2 linked regions of the Daphnia pulex genome follow. The protein of the gene in region 1 purifies or fractionates together with the protein of each later gene. This does not show direct contact. Links are inferred from orthologs where the notes say so. Each region holds a gene or a part of one and is shown on either strand. Other genes may lie near its edges.

Region 1 (9,919 bases):
CCAACAATACCAAGCAAATGGTCAGTTGGAAACGAGCGGAAAAGAAAGTGGGACGAACAGAAAATCCACAGAAAAATTACGGAATAAAATTTAAAAATAAAAATAAAATGGGACTCACCAATATTGACGATGCGGATGCCTTCGTCATGCTCCAGGAATTTCAGAGCCACGGAAACGTTCTCGAGCTTCTGCGAACGGAAGGTGGGTTTCTTGGTGTGCTTGGGCAATTTCTTGCCGGACAAGACTTCGACGAGGGCGATCAGTTTGAGTCCGTCCGACAGGTCCGTCTCCAAACTGCCAATGAATTTGTCGACGGTTTTCAGGTGCTCGTTGGCCCATCGTGTAAATGTGTTTTGCTGGATGCGCTTCCACTGGGCATCCTCGGCCAGATCTCGTTCCGTTGCCACCATGACTTGATCGTCTTCGGCGCTGCTCTGTTGTTGATTGCCTGCTCCTTCTTGCTGTTGAAGTTGCTGCTGCTGCTGCTGATGCTGCTGTTGTAACTGGCTAATGACGGACGAGACCACCTGCTCGGCCGGGCTGTCGCGGGCCAAACTGACATCTCCTCCCTGTTGACTCATGGTGTAAAGCCTGTAGCTGCCGCTTTGCTCCCGCCCGCCGGGCTATTCAGATAGAGGCCACAAGACCAGAGTCGCACACACACGAACACACCGACCGATGGGTTCGGTCCAATCACGCTTGTCTCTCGGCTTCGCTCCTTTGGCGATTCAATCGCCACCTGTTGAGTCTAATTTCAATCGAATTCAAAAAAAGACCATTAATTGTGCAACATGACGCAATATTACCTAATAGCGGAAGAAATCAAAGGAAACCTTGAACAAACGGACGAAAAAAAATGTCAGGAAATTAGTTTCTAGCTTTTAGAAAAGAGAAATATCTATTTGGGATAAATGATTCATTTCGTTGGAATGGAAACAAAAGAAAATAGGAACAGATTGACGGGCGTGGTTTGGTGGTGGCACGTTTATCCCCCCCCCCCCTCTCTTTCATATTTTTCCGTTTGGTTTCTTTCCCCCCTCCGCTTTAAGGATGGAATGAGAACAGCTGGATCACTTATAAGCTCGCCGCTAAATTTAAAAAAAATTCGTCATTGCCGACGACAGAAACTACAGCACAGAAAATGAATGGGGTATAACAAACGAACGCAATGTTGTAATCCAATCACCACCTGCGGTAAAGCAATTACCTGTCAACTGGTACATACCAAAATAAGAAATGATTAATTTGATTCGTTTCTGAAAGCCCAAAGGAGTAGTAGGTTAAGTTATTTCCTACAGCGAGTTATTATTCTTCCCCAAGACAGCAATTAAGCGCTCGTATCTGGGCTGCTTAATGATGTTATTTTACCGGCAATTTCATTTGGCGAATGCGTTTACAAAAAGGGGGGAAAAAAGTGTAAAACAGTAGTAGGTGGTTTGTACGTCAGCACTCTATCAGATTTGGGTCAGTCGGCAGGATATTGCCGAGATTTCGGCTTTTGTTGCCAATCTTCTTTTCTTCGTTCATTATTACAACAACTTGTCTTCATTTTTCCTTCGCTTTTCATTCCATAAAAGGACTCTGACGAATTGATTGCCCAACATTGCGGAATGAGCCCTAAAGCCGCCTTCTGCCGACATGTTCATCTTCATTCCTCTGCTGACGTGCATACGAGATGCGTGCCCATAGATGGCGCTGGCGGCGCCAAGCGACACCGATTCCGGTACGAGGATCGGCCAGGACCGTATCAACAAACAGCACAAAAGTTGATTGGATTCCACTAACTTGTCACGTCTTGTCATCCGTGTAACTAAGCGCCCTCGTCGTCGTCATTCCATTGACGACGACGCAAACAAACGAGGATCCAATAACGAAATGGAAGAATTTGTCTGTTTTTTAAACACAACAGAAAGGAAGGTGAACAAAAAAAACAATGTTAAAAGATTCTTACGGAATTGACGGTGACGAATCCTTTGTTGGTTTGCTAAGAATATCCGATACGATTGTTTTTTTTGTTTTTCTTTTTCTCCCCCGATCAATCTCCGTTTGTTCTGGGCTTTTACCGACCGGGAACGGCCCGATGCTCTCGAGAGGGGCAGGGGTGCTGCAACTCTCTGGACCAACTGGACCAACACAGACGCAAAACGGCTAATATGGCAAGCGTTTACCCTCACTGCACGGCACGATGAGAGCGAATGCGAGAAAAAGTGGCGTGTGTCTGTGTCGACGTCTGTTGTAGACAGAAGAGAGAGCGAAAGGTTTTTTGGTTTGTAGGTTTTTCGGGGTGGTGGGAGGGCTGCGCCGTCGTTTCTCTTATAATGTAGCCGCTCCGGACTACTCTCTTGCATAGATCCCGTTCGTCTCTACGACGGATTTTTTTAAAAATAGCCCACGCCATCACCGTTTCAGAAATTCTTCGCCATAGCGTGCGCGGGTGGAGGAGGAGGAGGCGGTAGAAGGAGGGGGGGGGGGTCGTCGTCGTCGGTAGGAGTGAAGAGAGACATTCCTCCCACACCGACTGACAACAGCCCCCGAAAAGAACGGCAGAGGTTAGGAAGTGGTACAGCACATAGGAGGCAGTTGGGAAAACAAAAAAGATGAAGAGAAAAATAAAAAGGAGCCGAGGGGAGGTGACCCCACAGTCTACTTATACGGGGATGATTCATTCACGGTTCGAAACGTATATCGCTATGACGTGCAGAGCAACCAAATAAAAGAGAAAAAAAAAAAGACACATACCTTAAAAACTGAGAACTGTTGACAAAATCGTTAACTCCGATTCGGAAAGACCTTAAATGGGCCAGGGAATTCGACGTCTGAACACGTCGTTCGAAATTGCCCTCCTCCGCACACGCACAACTTTAATCCAACTACACCGACAGACAAAAATGTCGCGGCCGCTTCCAGTTGTTCCGTTACGTCTCACCCGCTCCTCACAATCGACTGCGACAACAGCGATAGACGACGACGGCCTCCATCGCTGGCCGTCCCGAAGGCTGTAAGGCATTTTCAGCGTTCGGTTCAGCGGACCACGATGATGTACTCTCTCCGCACCTTTTCTTCTCCCCTTTCTGAAACAATAATACATTATTTACGATGTTGGAACTCGACTTTTTCAAAAAAGGATTTCCTTCTTTTTTTTTCCATCAAAGAAAAGCTACGCTTCTATTCTACACAGACACTCAACGTCTCACTCTGCACGCGTGCGTTATTCTTTTTTTTTTTTTGTTCCCCGCGTTCTCCTCTCTCCTCCGCCGGAACGGTCGATCCTTATATAGACGCGTCGAGGGAAAAAATCTCTTTTTGCCCGCGCTCGATGTTCAAATAGGTGAAAAAAGTACTTACACTCAACACGCTCAACGACGCACCACACACACACACACACACAGAACCAACGGCAACAGCATAGCCGAGCGCACGGCGGGATTTCATTTCCAGCCGTGCACGATTGTCCAGCTGGCTCTCGGCTGGTCATCATTCCACATCAAGTTTGACCAAAAAGGAAGGCAAAGAAAATCTTGGATCGTAACAAAAAACGATGAATAATAAAATAACGGAATTTCATACGAATCGTGCTGTGCGCTATACTCTTCAGTGTCGAGTGGAAAGTTACGAAAACGTCGGGGATATAACCGCAACTCGCTTTCGCTGCCACCTTGAACTACAACACGAAGAAACAGCATATCATCTATACTTACTTGCATGAGAGAAGAAAATGTACATAAAAGTCGTTCCGATCCGCTTCACGAAAACAGAACCGATACGATTGTCTTCAGATAATCTTTCGGTTCCGCAGCGCGATGAGCATCAATACTCGGTCATAGATCCAGACCAAGAAAGAAAAAAACAAAGTATTGTATTGTCTTGTTAGTTTCTTTTCATTTTCTCTTCTTTCTTTTTTTTTTTGTTGCTGATGTTTAATGGGGCGAGTTAAATAACAGGACACGGGGCAGGGGCAGGTGGGATAGTAAAGAGAGAAAATGGGGAGTGTGTACAATATCCGTAGAAGAGGACTAGACTACAAAACATAGAACATGTTTGTTGTTGGTTGAAATTTTTCATAAACTCCTTAAGATCCGAGGCCTCCCAGCGATGGTTATCCATCTCGCCGGACGGTTATCCGCCAAAGACCTTAAGGAGGAAACGTGACACAAAACTGGGGAGCAGAACGAGTAAATCAATGACCCATCAAATCAATATTATGTGATCCACTCTTACTCTTTCAAGTCGAAGACGCGCGAAGCTGAAAATAATGTCGTTGGCTGGTGAGAAAAATATTAAACTTTCCCTCACACACAAGAGAAAGATGTCGACGATAATGAGCTGGTGGATAGACAGAGGTAGGACGGACAGCAAAAGAAAAAAAAAAAAAGGAAGAAAAATCATTGAGGGGAGCCTATTATTGCACGCCAACTATGCCGTAAAACTAAGCATTTGAAAAACAAAGAGGAACAACATTCTTCGGAGGGGTGTGTGTTTTGTGTGACAGTAGAAAATCATGGAGAGAGAGAGAGATAGCAAAGGAAAAAATAACTCTGCACAGGTCCTGTTAGAAGGTGGAGGAAAGAGGATTCGACTCTCCCCCTCCCCACCGACGTTGTACGTTTTACATACACACACAGAAAGGAGACTAAGCCATTTTCTGTAGCGTTGACGGAAAACACACACTAGTTAATGACATCACTCTTTTGTCATATTGATGGCACTTGGTAAAATTAAAAAGCTGCTGTCGCTAGCAAATATGTTTCAAAAGAAAACACGAAAAAAGGGATATTATCTGCATATCCCGCCATTTGCGTAGATAGAAGTAATTGAAAAAAAAAAAGCTTACAATCGGTAGAAGAACAGGAAAAAAACAATTGATGATGATGATGATGTTTTTGTTGTTGCTGTTATTGTCTCTCTCCTTATTTTTCTTCCGTGTTGTCCGGCAAAATCTCTCAGGGCTCGAATGTAGCCGTCAGCCGCGAGAAGAAGCGGTAGAAGGCCAGGAAGAACGAGATGAACAATACGAGCAAGGGCATGAGACACAACGCCGTCGCCTACAGAAAACGCGCAGACAAACACGAAAAAAAAACAAGAGGCACAGCAAAAAAAAAAACAAAAAAAAACAAACAAACAGAGAAAAAGAGAAAGGAAAATAATCGATGGATCAGCTTTTTTTTGTTCTCTAATGTCCACCGTTAGCATAAATTTCTTACGTCAATGCGGTGTTAGTTTAAGACGAGAAAAAAAAATGAAAGTTAAAGAATAAAGTAAATCGAAGCAAACATACAGAGCGAAAAATGTTTTGTTGTTTTTGTTTGCGTTGTTTTTTGGCCACGGATATTGAACTAACAAAAACAATAAATTCATCTCTAAAATAAATTTTGAAGGCACATAAACACAAGTCGACGAACGAGAGAAAAGAAAGCCAATAATAAGAAGGTAACAAATACAGCTGAAGAAAAAAAATGTGAGAAAACAGAACCTAAGCGAGAGAGAAAAGGAGAATCCAAAATCAAGCAGACTATCGAAGAATTCAAATAGCTTCTTATTTGTTTTGTGTTCAAATCCTTTTCTTATTCCCTCTTCGTTCAGTTTCACGTGAGGAAAAAACAAGAGTTGACGGACTCTCAGCTGACAAAAAGAATATGTCTTTTAGAAGGCACACACATTTAGTTTTCTAAAGGAAGACAAAGGATGAAATAGAATTGGTGCTTCCCCTTTTCTGTCTTTTAATTTATCGTTATTTCAATCCGATGGCCTGAAAGCTATGAGGACCGCCAAGACAAGGACGGCCAACGGGACTACATACATCCAGCGGCCAACCTAGAAAATGCATTCGGCATTCAAAAGAAAAGAAAAATAAAGAGAACAGAAAAGAAAAAAGAAGAATGGATGGATAGAATTATCAACGAACCAAAGAATAATGAAGAAAACTTACAAATTAAAATTGTGCATAAAACAGTGAAAGAAGATTTGGAAGAAACGGAGACTGACTGGACTTACCGTTTTTGACTGAGAAGATAGTAACGAGTAGTTGTCCTTTAACTGGGAGAATTCTTCTTCTAGCTCCTTCTTTTCCGTTTGTACATTATCGTAGTGGCGCCGTAAAGCTTCGAGTTCGTTTCGTACCTCAGACAATTGCTTAAAATAACAAAAACAAAAAAACATAAATTAAAAACTGTGCCTCAAGAAATTTTCAAATAAAATTTCGTTTTACCTGCATGGTAACATATTCTTCCGAATTAGCATCTTCTCCGGAATTAAGTTCCCGGATGCCAGAATCTCTCATTTCAGGATCACGGGAACTCGGTGGATTACTGATTGGACTGCTAAATCCGCTAACCACTCCACTGTCCCGATTCTCTACGCTGAGAGCTAGCGACTGGTAGGCTTGTTGCCATTTCTGGCGTTCCTCAATTTGCTCTATCCTCGACACTTCCATCCTAAAAATAAATAAATAAAAAAGGTTAAATAGAAAATTAATTATGGATAGAAAATGTTTTCTTGTTACTCTTTCAACTGGATGGTGAGGATAGCAACTTCGTCCCTGAGATATTCCAATTCTGAGGTTGAGCCTCTATGAGCGGTGGTTTCACTGACACGATTGGCTTTCTCTTCCTTTTCGTAATTACTTAGTCGTACTGAAATATCGTTGTTGCAAATGAAGTATTTGGCATAAAAAAGTGATAAAAAAACTCCTTGCTTACAGGTCAATAGCGAAATAAGATCCTTATTCTTCGCATTAGCTTCTCGAAGTTCTTGGTACTCATTATTGAGTGAAACGATACTGGAACGGACGAGCTCAGCGAGCTCAGATGGTTCATCAGCGGATTCCTCTTCCTGCTCAGATGAGCCTTTGAGAACGTTGTGCAGGTTTCTAAAGTATTGCTGTAGATGTGCGGCTGTAGACCAACCATCTTGTGCCTCTAGCTGCCGTCTCTCCACTTCTGACTCAAGTACACGGCACTTGGCGCGCGTTTCTTCCAAAAGCTCTGCACCAATCCAAACAAAGGAATAACTTAGCCATCATCCATTTTCGTAGCGAACAGCTAATGTAAAGCTCGACGCGATCAATTTAGCAGAGTAGAAAAAAGAGACAGCAAATGTTCCATGTCAGCCAAAGAAAGAGAAAAAAACAAAATGGGCAAGCAGCAAAAAACGCAATGAAAAGCTGGAGTAGAGCCAAGAAAGAGTTAGTACAATTCACCTTGTAAAATTAAACTACAACATGCCAACTGATTGCGGTAAAGATAACAATCCCACGTGCATGAACCTACACACATCAATTAACAAAAAAACGTCAAGTATCCGAACAAGTCGGAAGCGATGATTGGCAGCAATGTTACGCTCACTAGGGGGTTTAATGGATTAATTTTTTTTGGGCGGAAAAGAGAAAAAAACCGAGTCAGAGAAAGGGCAAGACATTATAACACAAGGAATCACAAAAAGTAATGATGAAGCCAAACAAAAAGGCTCAATAAACAACCAGAAGTCCAATACCACATTGAAAATTTCTCTAAAGATTCTAGATTCTCTTAAGTAATTCTACATTCTTTCAAGATAAAGTAACACATAACTCATACCTTGTAGGCGATCCACTTCTTTTGACTTGTATCCAATAGGATCTGGGACAAAGTCTCCATTTAGATTCTAAGGAAAAACAAAAAACCTGTGAGTATTCATTAAAGATGTTTCAGTGATATTGATTTACCTTTGCATGGGAAGTTTTAAGTTGCGACTCGAGCTGGATCACCCTTTGTCTCAATGTTTCCGTCTGGTTTTCTTTGACGTTGCTCTTATCTTCCACTTCATCCCCACTTATTTCGTTCTCATCCTTCTTCAATTCTTCTGTTGCTTTCATTGAATCGAGACGTAGTCTGAGATTGGCGAGCTGCTCTTTGGTGAAATCGATTTCCGCTTGTCTACTTTCCACCTGTTTTACAGATAACGACTTTCAAATAAAAACTTGAAATGAAATGAATGAAAAATCTACCTGAGCTAGAAGAATCGTTTCTTTTTCTTGAGCTTCTCGAAGGGCTTCTTGCCTTGATTGCATCTCCTGCTCATGACGAAGTTGTTGGTTGTCGGCTTCTTGTAACTTTTTCTTGCACGACTGTAACTCTTCCGATTCTTTTTCGAATTTCTCGGCTAATTCTAGTATTTGTTCATTCAGTTTATCGTTCAATTCTTTCATGTTGTCGCGTTCGTCTTCAGCGTTACTCAATGATCTGTCAAGAAAACGCACAATGATTTAATGTATGAAGTTAATTAATCACAATGAAGTGGTATTCACCGTTCAGTTTCCTGTAACTTCTTCAAAGTTTCCATTTTCTCTGTGAGCACTTTCCGTAATGATTCTTTCGAAACATCCTGATAAATGTTTTTCTCGTCATACAACTTACGGATCTCTTCACGTAGTTTGTCTTCGTGAAAGTTCTTTACAAAATATATGCGATAAAGTAAATAAATACAACATTTTTCCATGATCCAATAAAAAATACGTACTTTAGAAGAGACGACCAGCTGATTTTCGAGAGATTCTATTCGAGTCAATAGTCTATCTTCCTCCATCAGCGCCGTCCAGCCCATTTCAGCTGCTTCACGAGTAGCGCTCACAATACGCTGCAACGATCCTAATTTCGTTTCTAATACTTGTTCTCTGATTACTGCTTCCTAGATATTAACAAACATAAACATGAATGAATAACATGGATGAAAAAGTAAAAATAATAAAATAAAACAAATAGTGAAAAAACATTTATAAGATTCCTTACCTGTATCCATTGATTAAGCTGATAGAGATCTTGTTTGCCAAGTTCACAACTGTCTTCCTCTTCTTGAATTCCAGTTGAAGGACTTAAAAAAAATACACACAGTTCATCAGATTCAAGCTATCGTTGAAAATTGTTTTTTTAAATTTACCTGGCTTTGGCTTCTTTGCCATCAGGTAAATATAGCTTTACAGTGGCTACAATACAACCATGAGTAACTATAGCATTCCAAAGAATTATGGATTATGCACCATTCTAGGAATATGTTAAATTCAAGGTAAATACCTTTTCTTGAATTTTCCATAACATCTACTCCAAACTGTACTATATCACCAGAGCACACTTCTCTTGGTGCTGATTCTTCAGATCCTTTACTTAATCTCTGATTGTTCACAAATGTGCCATTACTGCTTTTGGTGTCTTGTAAATAAAACTAAAAATGAAATTAAACATTTATATGCTTTTCGCACCTTATATAGAATACAACACTCTAAAAATACCTTTCCATCTTTGTACCATAGCAAAGCATGGTTCCTAGATAACACTTTACAATCAAATATGGCATTGTTGACAGCAGGCTTCACTCTTGCCACTGAGCGCCCAACTTTCATGGCACTTTCCAGGCTGAGATTTCTCTCCTGCGAACCATAACATATCTTATTACTTTGATCAAAATATGCTTTAGCAGAGGCTTGTGTAGTACCTGGAAAGGGTGTGAATTTGGTCTACAGATGAGTGTTGCTCTTGGAACCATCTTGTTGGATTCCTGTCCCCCATTCTCGGGGGAATCTTTAAGGGTCACATTGTTTTCGTCCAGCGCGGAGAGAGAGACGGATCGGGGTACGTCGAATTCGATCACAACCATCCGACCAGCCTTCGATTAATGACTGTCGAACTCTGTGAAGAGCCGCCCTTCCTCGCGTTTCACTATTTTGAAAATAACATGCAGACTACTTCAAGAGAGAGATTGTGTTACTTGAGTTCACTACTGTTCACTTCAGCCCGAAAACCGTGCTCTGGCTATTGATTAAACTAACAAAATCTATGGAGTTATTCACCAACACTCACTCGACAAGATTTCCCCAAGTATATCCCCAATCATGCTTAAAGTTACGGCCAAAACTCTCTCTCTCTACAGACCACACAGGCACACACACAAT
Region 2 (9,439 bases), on another chromosome or scaffold:
GGAGGGATTACTAATTCTGGTCTCAACTGAGCCAGTTGATGAAAGGCGATACTAGCTTCATATGCTCCAGCCCGCGAAAACATTGCGAGTAAGGCCACTGGAAGAACGCCTATAAAAGAATTGAAGAGGATTAAATTACATGTAAATTGAGAAAATGGGACAAAAATATCTCATATGGACCCATTTATTACTTTCAACGAAACGAGTGATGTCTGTTTCTGTCAGTTTTGCATTTTCCGGAGTTGGAGTTAACCAACTTTTCTTGTTGGAACGCTCTCGATGAAGTCGTTTTACAAAAGCTGCAGGCAGACGGCGCAAAAAATCGTTGAGTTTCGTGTGCCACGTACCAACATTGGATGGATGGTAGTAACTGTTGATAGCTTTAAATAATGCATCTAAATGATCTTGGCAATTGCTACCACCTCCAAGTGAGGCAACAATCCATGTAACAACTGCTCCAAGATCAAATTTGTGACCAATTTGTCCTCTCTGATGCCTAGAAATACCAGAACTTGTTAGGAGTCAGAAATAAGGCAGGCTCTTTCAATGAATTTACCTGTAACCAACTGGTAAACCAAAATTATTCAGAATTTTGGAGAACATCAATGGCATAACAGGCTCCCAGTTAATATAGCCAATATTGTTATCTGCAAGCCGGGAGAACAGGAGCAAAAAATCAAATTCCCAGCTTGGTTTGTTGTGGCACATCTTCCAAAGGCCCATAAACTCATCAAACCAGAGAAGATAACCCTGCTGATGGTTCTTGGGTTCAATTTTGGTTGGTAAGAAAGCTGCAAGTAAGCTAACACCCATGGGCATAGTCATGTCAAAGGGACAAAGCAGAGGTCTCCATTCTGCCAACATTTCTTCTGTTGCTCCAATATGGAAGTAATCACGGCACAGCTTCACTACAGTTCTCAATACTGAATCCATGGAAGCCGGAATATAATACAGGCCAACATCTTCGTACGGGGAGTCAAGAATTGTCTTCATTAATTTGTAAAGGGGTTTCCATGGAAGCTGGAGCTCTGCAGGACTGATCAAATACTGCTTCTTGAGCAAACTACTAAGAGTGCTTGCAAACAGAGAAATCATGGAGGCTTCCAATCCAGGTATAATGATGAGATCATAATAGAGCTTAATGAATTTGATGTGATCTTCTTTACTAAACTTGAGCCCATACAAATTAATGTAACGAATCAGCCTACCAGTCCATGTCACAACTCCTGGCCTCTGTAAGATAAAAACAACAAAATGAATAAATATATCACATCTTTTTATTATGAGGTTATTATTTCTTAGAATATTACCAATTCACGAAATAAGACTGCTCTGGACAAATTCAATTTGATTTCAGTAAGGAATGATTGGGATTCCTCGTCGATTCCATCCGAGTAAGGAAGAAACTTGTTAAATATCAATTCCTTCTGGGGACGAAACCCCAGTTTTTTGTGTCTAATTTCTTCCTTGTCGTCGATAGATTCGACCTCCATTTCCATGACTGAATATAATCACTGACTGACTCACACAGCTCTTTCTAGGCAAAACTGAATGACTTACTCTGTTGAAAATTTGCAATTCACTCTTTCAGTGGTTCCTAGCAGACGAAAAAGGAAAAACTTACCACCTATCAAAATTCGGCCATAGCAACGTCTCTCTTATTGGTTAAAAGGTTTCGTTTGGTTGCCATACCTTAAAATCGTCTGTTTCATTATATAATGACTCGAGAATTTATTCTTCAACTGGATGAAACTTAAACCACGTTTATCGTCGAAAGAAATAATGCGTTTATTATAGTCACGGATAAAATTCAACATTTTGCAAGCAAATAAGGTAGGAATAATAATAGTTTTAGTGCTTTCCTATGCTCCGTGCATGCGCTATCATGCGCTATGGTCTTATTACACCGAACAAATAGTCCCTATATGACAATTAACAAACAAAAATCGTTAGTTTGAGGGATAATTACTTTGGACTATTTGGATACAGGATACCTGTGTTTTGTTGAATCCATGATAGGTAATTAGTAACCTAGCACACAAAAAGAGCAATCAGTATTAAATCTTGAGAGAAATAAGTTCGAATAATTACTTTCGTATAGACGCCAGGTGTATTGAGTTTTGCACAACCGATCCCAAAGCTGGTGATTCCAACGATGTACCCTAGACCTGTTTGAGGATCAATCCAATTCAACGGACCTCCGGAATCTCCTTGACAAGCATCTTTATTCTCGGCATAAGTGCAGAACATGTTCTCAGTAATCTTGGATCCAACAATCGAATTGAGCCGACAGTTTTCAGTCGAAATAATTGGCAGCGCAACTTCTAATAAATTCGGCGAAGCTGTTCCACCAAAGCTCGTTGTTCCCCACCCTGGATGGATTACACAGACATAAGATTATAGAAAATGCATTAGAAAAAGTTTGGTATGTTTGTTTTTTAAATCACCGGTAACAGTTCCGATTTGTTTGTCGAAATTGTAATTAACAAAACGAGTCGGTAGGCAGACGGGTCGAACGGCTGCAGTGAGACTAACAGGCGAATCAAGTTTAAGCAGAGCGATATCATGGTTGACGGTCGTTCGATTAAAATTCGGATGTTGAACAATTTGACTCACTCTGCGGACCTATATTGGACGACGTAGAAAAAATCAATTGAGAAAAAGGATTAACAAATAAAACAATTGATAGAGAAAAGGGACCTGTGAGGTTGACGACAAGCTTTTCGTGTCGTATTGTCCCACAACGACTCCAATATTGGCTGCAATTCGATTGTGAGTGCAGTGAGCGGCCGTGAGAACCCAATTTGGCGAGATCAAAGTCGCCCCGCAATATTGGTTGCCTCCGCCAGACGGACTGATATCAGCCAATAAAGTCTGCCAGGGCCATTCGGTTACTCCAGCACTTTGACCCCCAACTACGCGGTTCTACATAAGCGAGCGAACCGTGAATAAATCTCCGTGAAATCGAAAGTACGTACAAAAAAAGTGACTTTATCAAAGAATTAAATTATACCTGTCCCTTGATTCCGCATTGACAATTCGGAGTAGGCGCAAGGGTAGAAGTAGTGGGCGGAGCTTGAGCCTGGGCGACACAAGAGAAACCACCGCCATTCGTGTAATAGGACGAATGAAATGCGATCGCGATAGAATTTGCCTTTGACGTCACTTGTAACCTCCCACTCCTGCATAAACGCGCGTCGTATATGTATACGTAATTGTTCATTAAAGAATCACAGTCTATTTTAAATAGCTAGGTAAATTAAATGAATTATACCCGCATATGGGGTTGGCAGCATCTCTGAATGCCGTGTCTCCACTGGGCGAAAACAGGAGATAGTCTCCGGTACAGGAAATGGATAGCGGGTCGCAAATGAGCGTGAATTGAGCGTCAGTCGATGTAGTCAATGTCCATAAACAATCAGCCCCTCCGCTGTACAAATTGGGATAATTCGGAGATGCAAAACGTCCCTTGAAAACGCGAAAGATTCCAACATCAATTTCACTTGAATCTCCAACTGGAATAAGCAGAAATGTATGCAACAATAATCTAGTTACCTGATATCCTTTGGAGACGTACACAGTCGTAGTTGTACCACATGTGTATTGACGTAACTGCGCTGACGAATTATTGTCGCTGATGCTCAGAACAGTCTGGTTGATATGCAAAGCGGGTCTCAGCTCGCCCAGACAACCTGACAGCAGGGCAATCACCCAAACAGAGGAGAACAGACGGGACGAGGCGGTGTGCATGAATAAAACGTTCATGTTGTAATGAACTGCCAATCTAAATCCGGCTCCTATAAATATGTATGACTCCCGAGTGATGCGGTGGATAGGGTTGCCGTTAATAACAGGACATTAATATTGACTCAAGTGCCGCGGTGAAGACGTCACTAGTTACGCGGTTTCACGCAACATTTGAAAACTGTTTGCATTTGCAAAATACTTTTCTGTTGCGGGTGATTGTCTTCTTCGGCGCACAAACCACAACGCAACGAGGACACTGTCGATCTGAATAAATAGAACTTTCCACATAAACTGAAACACGTATACATTTTCGCGCTCTCGGGTTGAGAGTAATTTTGTTTTGTCCGTTTTTACCTGTAGTAATAAAAGAAAACTTTGACCTGGATTGGTTTGTGTACACAAATTTGGTAAAACTTGGTCCAGTTGTATACCATTCTCAAGGTCTTTCGAGTATTTAAACTATATACCACAATTTTAAACAACATATTAGTCGGGGGAGCATACCTGGACTTTGCGGGTTGGTGACCTTCGGAGGGTTGAAAAAGGTTTTAAATGTGAGGATTGAAGATGAGTACGCTGGCAGGAGAGTCAACGACATGAAACACGAGTTTATTGCAATCAACCTATAGCCAAGCAACATCTAGTTATTTCTTTAGAACACAAAAAAAAAATTTATGGAGTTATTTGAAACTTTAATTAATACACGGGATAAAAGTGAAACATCGTGCAAGGAAAGCGTAGAGGACAAAGTATAGAGGAGAAGTATCATGTGACGAAGAATCTTCAGATTTTAAGGTATAGATAATTAATTATATATTGCGAACGTAATTAACGAATCTATCGTATGTTTGTTTTTTTGTAACGCTATTTGATTTTCCTTTGTTTTTCGGAGATCAAGGGTTCAAACAAGAAACATCGGCTTGGATCTCTTTATCCTCGCTTTTAATACCCAGAAGAGAGTTTCTCAATGACCCGTTATGACTTGCTATGTCCAAAAGCTCTTTCAGTCCCTGCATAAGAATGATGAAAATTATTGAAATTTACACGTTAAAATTTAAAAGACGTTCCGAACAGCTCTTCTGGTTACCCGATTTTCAGTTGTCAATTTTGAAAACAGTTCAATTTCCTTTTGTACATAACTGTCATCCAACTTTATAGCTGTCTCCATGACCCCAATCATGTCATTGATTTTCTCTGCCTGTTCTTCAGCCTTCTGAATAGACCATCACAATAAGGAATTCATTAATCTCATGCCATGTAAGATTATTAATAAATTATTAGGTATTATTTACTCTTGTGTCTGGGAGAAGATGAACCAAGTTCTTTTCTGTGTGACTTGCTTCAAGTAAACGGCTTATTTGTTGTCTGTATTTACTCATTATAAGCTCAAGAGTATTTTGATGCTCTTCAAGAGCTGACTTGAGTTCCTTGTTTTCATTTTCTAAAGCTCTCAATTGTCGGTTTTCTTGCTGAATATTGGCTATGAGATCCAAATGTGGTCTTTGATGAGCAGCTGTGTTCAATTCAACCAATTCTTCTTGGTACTAAAGAAGAAGCAATAATTTGAAAAAAATTACTGCCACAAGCTATCACCAACCCCCAACCGTGTACCTCTTTCATGGCATCCACTTGACAAAACATTGCCTGAGCTTGCGACAGAAGCAAATCTGCAGAGGAGTCGTGGTCTTTCAGGCGTCCAGCTAGTCGTTTGGCATCAGCAAGAATTTGTTGAACAGACACAGACATTTTGTTTGCCTGCTTGGGACTACATGGAAATAGAAAAACAGCAGAACTGGTATGTAAGTGTGAGTTTATTGTAAGTTAAAAAAGTTATGGCATCTGAAGCAGACTATAAACATTGGTGCATCGATCAGTTAATCGAAGAGATAGTTTTCATCGATTTCCATGTCGATTCAACAACTTACAAATCTCATAACTGGGCCCACGCAAACTACGAACGTGTTTGCTTGGTTGTTATCCCGACACCCTTTTCGAGCAAATAACTGATTTTCTTATCACGACAACAAACCGGTGATAAAAGGGACATGATAGAGATTTACCTTTCGTATTTCATTCGATTTATGTTTTACTTTTCATCAACTCGAAATATATCAGCAAACAACAGATTACAATATCTCATGAAAAAATAAATAATCAACATTCGATCGTGGCGACATCTGGCGAGAAAAATTAAAGGTGCGCCCGGGAAAAGGCTTCCCCTGGCCATGGCCTACTTAATGGTTAAGGCCTGTAAACTTGAATCCTGCCCCATGAAGGCGAGAGGATCTGCCAAATTCCCTATCCTTTCCCCGGGCAAGAGCCAATCAGACGAAAAATGGAGGCTACAACTTCGCCATCTGTCGTTCAATACTGCTATCTCGTTAGAATGGTTAGGTAGCTAGATATAATAAATTTTTCTTCGAGTGTTTCATAGCAGTGGTAGCCGTATGGATAGCAATGTCAGCTACCACACCACGGCGCGGCGTTCAATTCTCGGTTGGGAGGTATCTTTTTAATTTGCAGTTTATAACAAAGGTTGTGTTTCACGGAATAATTTATTCGAAAAATTTTGCTGGAATTATGCACATGTCCTTTTTATCCTATTTAGTCGTTTTCCTCAACATCTGCTGTTGAACTTAGTAGGAAAAACGCATTTCGTGGCATCTAACAATTTGTTATTACGCCTTCATTACTTTACAACGAGATTTACATCTTAAAACGCCAGATGGCGAAGTTGTAACCTCCATTTTTCGCCTGATTGGCTCTCACAGGGACAGGGCTAGGGAATTTGGCCACGCCTCTCGCCTTCATGGCAGTGGATACAAGTCTACAGGCCTTAACCATAGAGTAGGCCATGCCCTGGCATACACATTATGCGGATAAAATAAATAACAAGAAACGAGCACACACTATAATAGGAAAACACATTTTTTTGTAGTAATTCGATGAGTATCCAGGAAAATCTATTTTAAAGGACGGCTCCGAATGCTAAATGGAAGGCAAGATCCAAAATATCCTGTGCTACGCCATCTTGGTGGCAAATGAACAGCTCCCGATGAACAGGGGATAGAAACAGCCTCCTAAAATTAAAATCCGACACCCACGCACAAAAAGAAAAAGTAAAAGTTACAATGGGTTAGCTAGATCGATCGATGTGAAGTTGAAAAAGCATCACCGCACCCAGTGACCCAAAAACTGTCGCTCATCGGGGTCGATTTCGTCCCGCTGCCGGGACTGGGAGGAGATTCAGTGACTGTAAAAACAACCGAGACCTCTTGAAGTGCCACTAAACTCTTATCAGACCAAGGGCCACCCCAATCGGGCCTTTGTAAATCCATCTGTAAAAAAATAAAAGTAAAAAAAACGGGGACGAGTTGAAATCAATATTTGTTTTTCATCAAATTCTAGGCACTTGAATTTGTATTGGGTCGACCTACTTTAGCTTTAAGAGTTCGCTGAAATAAATTGTGAATCGTCAGACAAGTTTTCTGAAATTGATCGATAAACCTGGTTCCAGCGTTCAAGATGGTCGGGGCGACGAATACACCTGTACCGAAATCCATCGACAGGTAATTGATCATGGTTGGCCTGAGCCCTGGAGTGATGCTATTAATTGCAATCAAACAAAAAAAAAAAAAAAAAAAAAAACAAAGCGGAAAGTTGGAGGGGGATATGTCAAGGAAAAAAGACAAAAATAATTTTCTCCTGTTAGAAAATCGAGCGAGGTCAAACAGCATTTTATTCGTCTTTATAGTCAAAAGGAATAAATGCTGTGTACCTGCTGAGCTTCCAACTGGGCGTCGCTGAGCGCGATGATATAAAACAACGGAAGTACCTAAAGGTCGGCATTTCCGACTCGGGTGACGAAGATATCGGCGTTGTACATTCAGAAACTTGGCTGAGATTCGTGACCAGGGCCGGATTCTGTGGTCCGTTCAATCTTTAACGATCGCAAAAGGGAATTATTCAATTGTTTTCTTCATTCCAAATTTAATTATAACTTAATTCATTAAAACAAATTACATTTGATTGCAGGTCGTTTCTAGGTCGAGGTACTGCAATTCCTGCAGGAAAAACTGCATTTCTTCAATGAGAAAAGTATCTGGATAATGATCCCACCTGAAAAGTCAATCGAGATTTATCGACGGGCAAACAAGGTAAAAGAACCGTAAAGAAAATCAAATTACGATTGGGTAACGCCTCCCGACTCTAGTAGAGCAACAACGAGAATGTGACCCTAAAAGAAAAGAAAAATAAATCATCATTTCGAGAAATGTAATCTCCGTCTTGACTATCTAATGAGAGAGAGAGCCCCACCGATCCGACGACGACAAGAAAGGATTGATTTCCAGCATCTTCAGACTCTGGGAACACTTGGCGCCAGATAATCAAGCTGCTCAATCGACGGCGATGGCTCATCTCCAAGATCTGGTTCCACTTGAGAAAAGTGCCGATCTCTTCCAGTCGCTTGGCTGCCATTGTCGAAGCCACCAGATAACCCTGCAGTGAAGTAAACACACAACGCTTGAATAATGTTCAACTGTGGGAAGGTAACAAGGACGGACGGACGAAGAAGAAAAAAAAAGGACAAATGAAATTATATCCAATGATCCACCCAACCTGACAATACACGGCCGATCCGGTGATGGTAGCGCATCGTTGAATGCTGATTGACTCTTCATCCTGTGCCCACAAATCACAAATAGTAGAGAAAAAGGTTACACACACTGGGCCAAATAAATGTCTAATAATCTAATACGGTCGATCGACATTGTGAAAGAAAAGGGGAAAAAAGGACAGAAAAGTGAGTCTGTCTTTTTTTCAATCTGACTCGTTATTCTTCTATTCAGAGTATGTGACAAGCGCCATAGATTTGCTATCGAGGAGGGGGGCGAATGTCGTCATATTCTTTTCTGGTTGCACACATTGCTCAGCTCTCTGCCTTCTTACCCAGTCCTCGTAATCGATGGCTTCCATTTGGTTGAGAGTTAACGTCACGTCCAGCTGCACACGGTACACACATTTGGGTTGGAAAGAAAGAAAAAAAGAGAGAGTTGGGGGTGCAATCAATCATCAATTTACGACTGGATGGATAGATGGATCGTTACGTGACTTTCGGGAGGTAGCGGGAGCCATTGGCCGCAGGTGACGAAGTAGTTGGAGAGTCGATTGAATGGCCGGCTCATGTCGTTACTGCCCCCTGGGCTAACGGTCGATGCATTTCCGACGCTCCTAGCGCCGGCTCCTTGCTGGAGCCAATGGAAGAGAGAGTCGACCATGCGACGGATTTCGCCTGCCAGTCGCGGTTCAGTCAATGCCCTTTTTATTTTTAATATAAAAATTCAAAAACAAATGTGAAATCGATCGGCGTCGTCGTTCCAATTGACTCGACAAAATAAAATTTCCAAACAGAAACCTGCGGATGGAGCCATACTGGAAACGGAATAGCGACGCCAGCTGTTTGGCCGTCATCTGCAGCTCGATGCGACTACACCTGGTTAAATAAAGAAATTTTAAAAAGAGAAAAAAAAGGGGGGAATCAATAAAACCGCCGGCTCCTAAATAATAAAAAAAAAAATAGGAATTGACGCCAGAGGCGCTCGAGTGCACATCATTTTAAAAATAAAATGTTAAAAAAAAAAAGAAAAGAAAAATAGAGAGAGAGATTAACCAAATGGAAGGAGCTCCGATG

What was found.
Region 2: the proteins of sarcolemmal membrane-associated protein-like (region 1) and FGFR1 oncogene partner 2 homolog purify together in Drosophila melanogaster (affinity purification with western blotting; 3 studies listed by BioGRID, with this or other methods). This does not show direct contact. The link is inferred for Daphnia pulex from reciprocal best matches to the Drosophila melanogaster genes Slmap and Fgop2.

What each region holds. Positions count from the first base shown.
Region 1 is NC_060020.1:2,409,148-2,419,066, forward strand, and holds the end of sarcolemmal membrane-associated protein-like, read right to left. Parts: 5' UTR 9,625-9,919; coding exon 9,463-9,624; intron 9,398-9,462; coding exon 9,260-9,397; intron 9,193-9,259; coding exon 9,045-9,192; intron 8,978-9,044; coding exon 8,911-8,977; intron 8,845-8,910; coding exon 8,763-8,844; intron 8,662-8,762; coding exon 8,494-8,661; intron 8,425-8,493; coding exon 8,282-8,424; intron 8,217-8,281; coding exon 7,982-8,216; intron 7,922-7,981; coding exon 7,700-7,921; intron 7,639-7,699; coding exon 7,572-7,638; intron 7,262-7,571; coding exon of another isoform or gene 7,196-7,261; intron 6,981-7,195; coding exon 6,500-6,980; intron 6,432-6,499; coding exon 6,206-6,431; intron 6,130-6,205; coding exon 5,992-6,129; intron 5,812-5,991; coding exon of another isoform or gene 5,734-5,811; exon of another isoform or gene 5,043-5,733; coding exon 4,941-5,042; 3' UTR 3,841-4,940; downstream 1-3,840. Other genes in the region: filamin-A-like, read right to left, coding at 119-581.
Region 2 is NC_060024.1:10,461,656-10,471,094, forward strand, and holds FGFR1 oncogene partner 2 homolog, read right to left. Parts: upstream 5,923-9,439; 5' UTR 5,822-5,922; coding exon 5,808-5,821; exon of another isoform or gene 5,673-5,807; intron 5,513-5,672; coding exon 5,359-5,512; intron 5,292-5,358; coding exon 5,040-5,291; intron 4,961-5,039; coding exon 4,835-4,960; intron 4,758-4,834; coding exon 4,641-4,757; 3' UTR 4,341-4,640; downstream 1-4,340. Other genes in the region: proteasome activator complex subunit 4-like, read right to left, coding at 1-109, 192-496, 557-1,233, 1,311-1,499; chymotrypsinogen A-like, read right to left, coding at 1,902-1,921, 1,995-2,031, 2,092-2,372, 2,448-2,625, 2,701-2,925, 3,014-3,182, 3,275-3,468, 3,556-3,765; protein inturned-like, read right to left, coding at 6,716-6,827, 6,928-7,085, 7,185-7,353, 7,526-7,687, 7,771-7,866, 7,935-7,984, 8,065-8,247, 8,368-8,430 and 4 more.